2 linked regions of the Sus scrofa genome follow. The protein of the gene in region 2 purifies or fractionates together with the protein of the main gene of each other region. This does not show direct contact. Links are inferred from orthologs where the notes say so. Each region holds a gene or a part of one and is shown on either strand. Other genes may lie near its edges.

Region 1 (4,331 bases), on a different chromosome or scaffold from region 2:
CTGACGTTTCCTCCACCGCCTGCCTTGTGAACAGGGCCGCTGGTTCGCTCCTGGGACTGCTGGAAGGTTATCGTTTTTAATAGCATCATGGTGCCGACAGACAATTCCGCGGCCATTCCTGCCGAAGGCGGTGTCAAATCCTAACTGGAAAGAGCTCACGGCCCTTTCTCAGGCGAGAGAGGCTCCTCGCGGCGACACGGCCCGGGGTCCGAGGCCCGCCCGGCTGCGGTGCGGTTAAGGCGAGGACTCGGTGTGAAGCACGCTCCAGATGCTGCCGGCGGGATAAAGAGGGGATCAGTGCCTGGAACAAGCGAGCGCTGCAAAAATCTCAGGGATGAAGCACTTGAAGGAAAACGGGAAATCAGGAAGAAGAGTGGGAGCGTGAGGGGAGTTAGGGGCAGGAGGAGCCGGTGCTGCGACCTTGCACCCGGGCACTGACAAGGGGTCTGGCACAAAATAGATGCTCAACAAAGGCTTGTTGCGCAGTGGGTGGAGTATATGTTATTCACCCACTGTAATGGAGCATTCACTCTGTGTCGTTTAGTGCTGACAACCCACCGAAATGGGACCTTTTATCATCTCTGCTTTTCAAAAGAGGGAACTGGGTCCAGGCCAGAAGATGTGTCTGCTTACACAGCCAGGAAGTCCCTGCACATGATCAGGCTTTGCCTTCATCCTGACCTGGACCTTCCCTCCCCACTCTCCCCTGTCTCTCAGCCCCAACAATGATCTCTTTCTCCTACAACGGCCATTCCCACCTTTACTCTGCCGGCTCCTTCGGCCTTGAATGAACTTCCCCCACATCCCTTCCTGGCTCACTTCTTCCTCTGGTCTCAGCAAAAGCGACACTTATTCAAATCCCCTTGGAGCCCATCAGGCCCCTTTTTCAATCACAGCACTATGACTGCTTAAAGTCTTCCCGTTTTCCCGTTTTTGTTTTCACCTCTGCAATATAAGCTCCACGAAGGCAAGGACCTGTGGGTTCTGTTCACCCACATCCTGGTTCCTTGCATGCTGTAGGCCCTCAAACGCCTGCTTAATAAACAAAGTGGTCCCGGGGCTGCAAAGTCCTTTCCACTTCGTCTTTCCTCGGAACATCTCATTCGTTCTGTACATCAAGAGGGGTGTAGTGTGCGTGTAATAGCGGGGTGAGAAGCTAAGGCCCTCTCCCGTAGGGAATTCACTGCTCGGAGCCGGAGCGATTCAGGCCCGTGGTCGGATAACCACTGAGTCGGACACTGAAAGGCAACGTGACTAGACATCAAAGCCTTTAAATTCCCGAGGGCTCTTCTAGGCCTCTCCACTTTAAGGCGCGCGCAGCCCGGGCCCCCGCCCCGCGCGGCGCCGCGCGCAGCCCGGGCCCCCGCCCCGCGCGGCGCCGCGCGCAGCCCGGGCCCCCGCCCCGCGCGGCGCCGCGCGCAGCCCGGGCCCCCGCCCCGCGCGGCGCCGCGCGCAGCCCGGGCCCCCGCCCCGCGCGGCGCCGCGCGCAGCCCGGGCCCCCGCCCGCGCGGCGCCGCGCACGCCCCTTCCCGGCCTCCCCCGCGCGCCGAGCTAGGGCCGGGCGGGCCGTCTGGGGCCCAGAGCCTTGGAGCGAGGTACCTTCCGCTTCCTCGGGCCGGGGTCCCGGGAGCGCCATGGAGCCTCGGGCGGTAGTGGATGCTATAGAGACGGGGGAGGAGGACGTGGTTATGGAGGCTCTGCGCGCCTACAACCGGGAGGTGAGCGGGAGCTATGGACGTGGGACGCGCAGGGAGGAGGTGGGGCTGGGTGGGTCCCGCGCGCGTGGCCGGCGGGGAGGGTGTGAGTGGTGAGCGTGGCGGAAGGCTGAGGGTGTTGGCGAGCACGGCGGGGAGGGGCACCGAGTCTTTGAAGAGTTGCTGGGGGTGCCGTGGGGAAAGGGAGCCCTGTCTATTGAGAGCGGTGTCTGCGGCCTTGGAGCTCGGATTCTGCTTCGGTGGACCTGTGCCTCCTAATCTTCTGGGTCTGTTTGCAGAACTCCCAGAGCTTCACGTTTGACGATGCCCAACAGGAGGACAGGAAGGTGGGTGCTTATCAAGGGTAAAGGGGCAGGGACGGGTGGCCCAGGTAGAGGAGCCTGATGGAACCGCTCTATTCCCCTGCCCACAGAGACTGGCGGAGCTGCTGGTCTCAGTCCTGGAGCAGGGCTTGTCACCTTCCCGCCGAGTCATCTGGCTGCAGAGCATCCGCATCCTGTCGAGGGACCGCAGCTGCCTGGACTCGTTCACCAGCCGCCAGAGCCTGCAAGCGCTTGCCTGCTATGCTGGCATCTCTGCTTCGAAGGGGTCGTGTCCTGAGACTCTGGACATGGATGTTGTGCTCGAGTCCCTTAAGTGCCTGTGCAACCTCGTGCTGAGCAGCTCCGTGGCACAGGTGCTCGCCGCAGAGGCGGGGCTAGTGGTGAGGCTCGCAGAGCGAGTGAGACTGTACCGCCAGAGCAGCTTCCCGCATGACGTCCAGTTCTTTGACTTGCGCCTCCTCTTCTTGCTAACGGCGCTTCGCACTGATGTGCGCAGGCAGCTGTTTGAGGAGCTGCAGGGAGTGCACCTGCTGACCGAGGCACTGGAGCTGACGCTGGGAATGACCCCTGGAGAGGGACCCCCGGAACTCCTTCCTTCCCAGGAGACCGAACGGGCCATGGAGATCCTCAAAGTGCTTTTCAACATCACCTTCGACTCCATCAAGAGGGAGGTGGATGAGGTGAGGGCTGGCCTCAGCCTTCGGTTGGGCTTAACAACTAGGATGCTTCCGGGACCTGCCTCTCTGCCAGGTACCCTCAAGTTTCTGGGTGTCGGACCAGGAGGACATCTGCACAGCAGCGCTTGTCAGGAGGAGGCAGGGAGGTGCCCGTTCCGTATAAGGGCATCGAGGAATCAGAGCGCGTATCTGGCTCTTGCAACACCAGGAGTGCTGTGTGGTGTGGGGGCAGGCTGTAGGAGATTCTTCGGGGGGCGGGGGGCGAGAGCACAGAGTGACTTCATCCCAAAGGGACCTGTTGATGTCCCTAACCACGAGAGTGCTCTTAAGGTCACATAAGTGAGGCTGAGCAGCCAGGTGTGGTGGAGGAGATGCATGGCCTGCATGAGGTCTGGCCGTGGGCCAGGCAGTAGATGTTCAGCAGGCAGCAGTGGGGGTGAGTGGCACTTTCTCTCACAGGCACCCCTTTCTCTTTGGTCAGGAAGACACTGCACTTTACCGGCACCTGGGGACCCTGCTGCGGCACTGTGTGATGGTCACTGCTGCTGGAGACCGCACAGAGGAGTTCCACGGGTGAGGGTGGTGCCTGTTGGGCACACCGGGGCGGGCGTCTGCTCTCAGGTCTATATGGTGGTTTCCAGCCCTAAAGAGAGAGTTTTCATCCAACTGGGTGGGACCAGGCATTGGTGTGTTTCCACAGAGCTGCAGCACTTAGAACACACAGCTAGGACAAGAATTGTGAGCTCAGGACAGAATGTGCCACTGGACCTTGAACACTGTGGTATCCATAGAGCAGTGTGGTTGTCACTTTCATTTTCTGTGACCTATGCCTGGGCGGGTCCCAATTTGGACTACCTGTTGTTTCGACCCAGGTGTGTGGGAGGTGGGATGTCTGCAAGGAGGGCCTCCCTCTGCTCTGGTACTTGGTGCTACTCAGGCCCCTGATACTGGTTCGGGTCATGTGTGATCCCAGCAGGGGGCAACAAGAGTTGCGCCTGTGCTGGGGGCCTGGGTTTACCCAGCCCTCCTTTCCATGTGTCCCCAGCCACACAGTGAACCTCCTGGGGAACTTGCCCCTCAAGTGTCTGGATGTCCTTCTCACCCTGGAGCCACACGAAGGCTCCCTGGAGTTCCTGGGAGTGAACATGGATGTGATTCATGCCCTCCTCAGTTTCCTGGAGAAGCGTCTGCACCAGGTGGGCAGGAGGCCCTGCTATGGCTCTGGCCCAGGCTTTCCCAGGCAGCTGTGGGCGCTGCTTTTGTGCAGTCTGCACTGGTAAGGGGAGATCAGCTCCCCAGTGGGATTCAGGCAATGCCTCCAGCTGCTCCAAGGTCCAGCCAGGCAGGAAGCCAGAATGTCCTCCTTGAAATGTAGGCAGACTTTTTGATACAAACAGAAGCAGGTTTTCAGAGACTAGCAAAGTATTTGTTTTTAGGTCTCTTTGTGGATCTTCTTGAGGGGGACCAAGAAGCCGCTGGTCCCTGCTTGTGATGCTAGACTCGCAGTGTCGCTCTACACAAGCAGCTCTTGGTGATGAGCAGCGGCTGTCCTTTGGTCTCTCTAAAGGGACCCACAGGATCTTCCAGGCAGAGGCTCCCTGACTCCTGCGGCCGCA
Region 2 (4,047 bases):
TTTACTGATCAAGTGAAGTTTCTTTGGAGGTATTTACAATTAGTTTTTGGCATAGGTTTTTTTTTTTTTTTTTTTTTTTTTTTTTTTTGTCTTTTGTTATTGTTGCTATTTCTTGGGCCGCTCCCGCGGCATATGGAGGTTCCCAGGCTAGGGATTGAATCGGAGCTGTAGCCACCGGCCTACGCCAGAGCCACAGCAACGCAGGATCCGAGCCGCGTCTGCAACCTACACCACAGCTCCCGGCAACGCCGGATCATTAACCCACTGAGCAAGGGCAGGGACCGAACCCGCAACCTCATGGTTCCTAGTCGGGTTCGTTAACCACTGCGCCACGACGGGAACTCCGGCATAGGTTTTTAAAAAATTAAACCTACAGCTTTTTTTTTTTCTTGAGTGAAAACAGGAGATACTCATTCTTATTGAGCTTAGTTCTTTTTAATTCTAGTAATCCAGATAGCTATTTTCTAATGTCCTAGCAAATGTTTAAACATACGAATGACCCATTAACTTTAAATGTCTGAAGGCTTTTGTTTTGGTTAGGGTTTTATAAGTAGGCTGTGCCTAGTTGACTTAATATTAAATTTCAGGGATCTTTAATAAGAATAGCATTTCCATGTTGTTTTAAATTGGCTTTCACAGTTTAATTTTGGTAAAATTAAAACCACTTTATTGTAGTGTATATAAAAACTACTTTAATTGTCCTATGTTTGGTTCACTTTTTCCTCATTATTTCTATGATATTGAAGATCTGATTTGTTCTGCCACTTTAGTGACAGATTCGGAATTCACTTTTGGCAAGGAATGAGTTTAGTCTATGGACTTGCTGTGTGTATGGTTGGCTTTACTAAATAAAATAAATTTGTATTTTACTTATTTAGTTACCTAAATGATTTGGATAGAATATCCCAAACCAACTACATTCCAACTCAGCAAGATGTCCTGCGGACAAGAGTGAAGACCACAGGCATTGTGGAGACACACTTCACTTTCAAAGACCTGTACTTCAAGTAAGTCCTTAGCCTCTTCCTAGATGTATCTTTGCTCTAGTTAGTCTCTTCATCAGGGTAACATTTTTCTAGGCAGTATTCCTTGATTTAGAAACTTATGTTCATCAGCCAGTATTTGACTATTTTAAGTGTCAATGTAAACATTTCTTCTTTCTTTAAATAGCATCAAATATTTTTGTCCATTTGCAGGAATTTAAATTCAAAATGAAACTGTAACTTACATGTCAATAAAAGTAATCACATGGTTACCAATTTATTTTATTTTTAATTTTATTCTTTTCAGCTGCTTTTTTGTTGGAATCACCAAAACAGGTATTGAATGTTTGTTGTTTAGAAGGGTAACAACAATACTAAAAAGATAGAAAACCAGTGTTTTGGTTTAATTATGTGGCTTTGTTCTGGCATTTTGATGTTAAAGTAGAAGTGCTTTTTATCAGGGTCAGTCATTTCTTGGATCACACTTTAAGTTTAATGGGACGGTGCTAATATTGTCGTGGCCTTTGGTTTGTACACAGTAAGTATTATGCACAACCAGCTTCCTAATACAGTGCAGAATGAATATTGATCTGGGGCTAGAGGTATTTTGGAGAGGCATGATGACATGTAAACAATTATTGTTATAGAGAGAGAAAATTCTTGTATTCTAATGCAGTGGATTTTCTCATCAGCATTAGTAATTCTAGCTTCAGCTTGTCTCTGCGTCAACAGTCTTATGTAAATAATAGAACTGTCTTTATGGTTCCTGTCTTCTGCTTTTGTGACCTTTGAGGTTAGGAGTAAACTTTTCCCCTTCAGTGTATGATGTCCTTTTTAGCTGCTTCATTATGCTTGTATGTAGAATGCGATATTCAGCACTGTTGCATGCAAATGTAACTTCTAGCTCAGATTCTCTATTTTCTCTTGAAAAAAATTGCTTCGTGGGATTTGCAAAATTCACACAGACTTTAGGTATTATTAAATACTAGTTGAGGTCTTAAAATCTTAATACACCAAAACAGATTTGAAAATTGATACAGGAAAATAGCAGTTCAGCTGAATATTTTTAGAATAGAGGAACCGCTTATACTGATGAATTTATTTAATAAAAGTAGCAAAGGCTCCATAAATCATCACCCAAGAAACTGAAAGAATGAGATATCTCTTTGTGTGCTATAAGGTTAGTAATCCATTTATAATTATATGTTGTGACTTTTATTTATTTAGTGTGGGAAACTTTTTTGTTGATGTCATAGATTGATCTTTAGGTAGGTAAATCCTGTTGGTCTTTTTATGTCAGGATAAATAGCCAGATCTAATTAAGGTGCTGCACCCACTTTATTGCTGGCATATAGATATCTGTTATGAAGTACTATCATTTCTTCCTTTTCCTCTTCTCTCTAGGCAAAACCACTATCCATTTATTCAAACATTTATTGAGCATCTCCTATATGCAAGGCATTGTGTAATTGCTTACTTGCCTCTCAGTTATGAGGTAATGTTTATAAAATGTTGATCTGTTAGTGAATGATACTGTAAATGTTAATATGTGTGGAAAGCCCACCTTGGGAACTTCACAGGGTTCAGTTTTATGGACTTTATAGAAAAAAATGGAGAAGCAAAATGAAATTAATGGTGTACCAGTATGTGTCTCCCCTTGAAAGATCCGTGGCGAAATATATAATCTTAGCTTTCCTAAAACCTATATATGGTATGACCTTGTATTAGAACCAGTTTATGAGTGCCTCATTCCGGGTGTCAGGACTAAAGGTTGAAAAGAACTGCGTAAGATCAGCCAAAAGAAAAAGTTGGGTCATGGAGAGATGAGATGACTATTCTTTTTCAAACATACATTGAGAAATTATTCAACAGTGTCTTATTTCTCTCACTCTCTAAGGAGAAAATTCTCTGGCAATAGACTCCTAGTCACTATAGATCTGGTACAATGAACCAGCTTGGCAGAGTTTACACTTAAAACATTTTATGATTGTCATCAAACATATGTCTTAAGAGTAGCTAATCATTTGTATGCATACCTCCTAGTACTAGTTAAAAGACAAAGCAGTGCAGGTCCTCCTCTTACTCTAGATGGTAGATGAGGACACTGCTGACAGAAGTTCAGCAGCTGATTCCTAATAGCAAGTAAGCGCCCCCCACCCTGAAGGGAATAGTGGACTAACACTAACCTCGAGTGGAACATAAAGTGCGTGAACAATTGAAGCTTTGTTGTTATTGATTAGGTTAAAATAAAACTTGGAGTTAGAAAATACGGTTTAAGTTTTGGGTTTAGATATTAGGTTCTTAGAGTCTTATCCTAAAATATAATTTACTTTTTTCCATAATCTCTAAAACGTTTTCCTTAAAGTAAGAAAAATGTATTTCAATTATATCTCAATTAAAAAAAAAAGGGAAAACAAACTTTTGAATCTGGAAGCAGAAAGCAAGTTGGGGATTTATATTTTTTCATTGTTCTTTTTTTTTATTAGAGAGATAAACCATTTTGAAAGGCAGAGTGGTGTGATGGGTAAGAGTTGGTTACTGGAGTTAGAGTTCCAGTCCCCATTTGTTAGTAGTGTGCTCTTAGGTAAATTATTTAACATCTTTGTGCCTCAGTTTCTTCATCTGGGATAGTAACAGTACTAACGGGAGTGTTATGAGGGTTAAATGAGTTAATGTACTTCAGGATGTTTAGGATAGTGTCTGGCACCAGTAAACACTCAAACAGTAGTTATTATGGTTACTACCTCGAGTTTTATCATTCATCTCTTTATTTTTCTGGTCTTTTTTCCCTCCTTTCATTAATCCATTTCAGTGCTTACTCTACTGACTTTTGGTATGTATGATACAAGTTTTTGGTAATGAGGAAGCTCAACTGTTTATCTAAAATGAGAATTTTTTTTTTTTTTTCATTTGGGTTGCACCTGTGACTTGTGGAAGTTCCCAGGCCAGGGATTGAACCTGTGCTGCAGCAGGGACCTGAGCCACAACAGTGACAATGGTGGATCCTTAACCTGCTGAGCCACAAGGGAACTCCCTAAAATGAGAATTTTTATTATTCCTAAAT

What was found. The genes of interacting proteins can lie anywhere in the genome.
Region 1: the proteins of GNAI3 (region 2) and RIC8A purify together in Homo sapiens (affinity purification with mass spectrometry; 3 studies listed by BioGRID and IntAct, counting the BioPlex papers as one, with this or other methods). This does not show direct contact. The link is inferred for Sus scrofa from reciprocal best matches to the Homo sapiens genes GNAI3 and RIC8A.

The regions. Positions count from the first base shown.
Region 1 is NC_010444.4:30,660-34,990, forward strand, and holds the start of RIC8A (synembryn-A), read left to right. Parts: upstream 1-1,511; 5' UTR 1,512-1,634; coding exon 1,635-1,718; intron 1,719-1,993; coding exon 1,994-2,041; intron 2,042-2,127; coding exon 2,128-2,718; intron 2,719-3,196; coding exon 3,197-3,288; intron 3,289-3,760; coding exon 3,761-3,911; intron 3,912-4,331.
Region 2 is NC_010446.5:110,540,543-110,544,589, reverse strand, and holds part of GNAI3 (guanine nucleotide-binding protein G(k) subunit alpha), read left to right. Parts: intron 1-878; coding exon 879-1,007; intron 1,008-4,047. UniProt on the Homo sapiens protein: Heterotrimeric guanine nucleotide-binding proteins (G proteins) function as transducers downstream of G protein-coupled receptors (GPCRs) in numerous signaling cascades.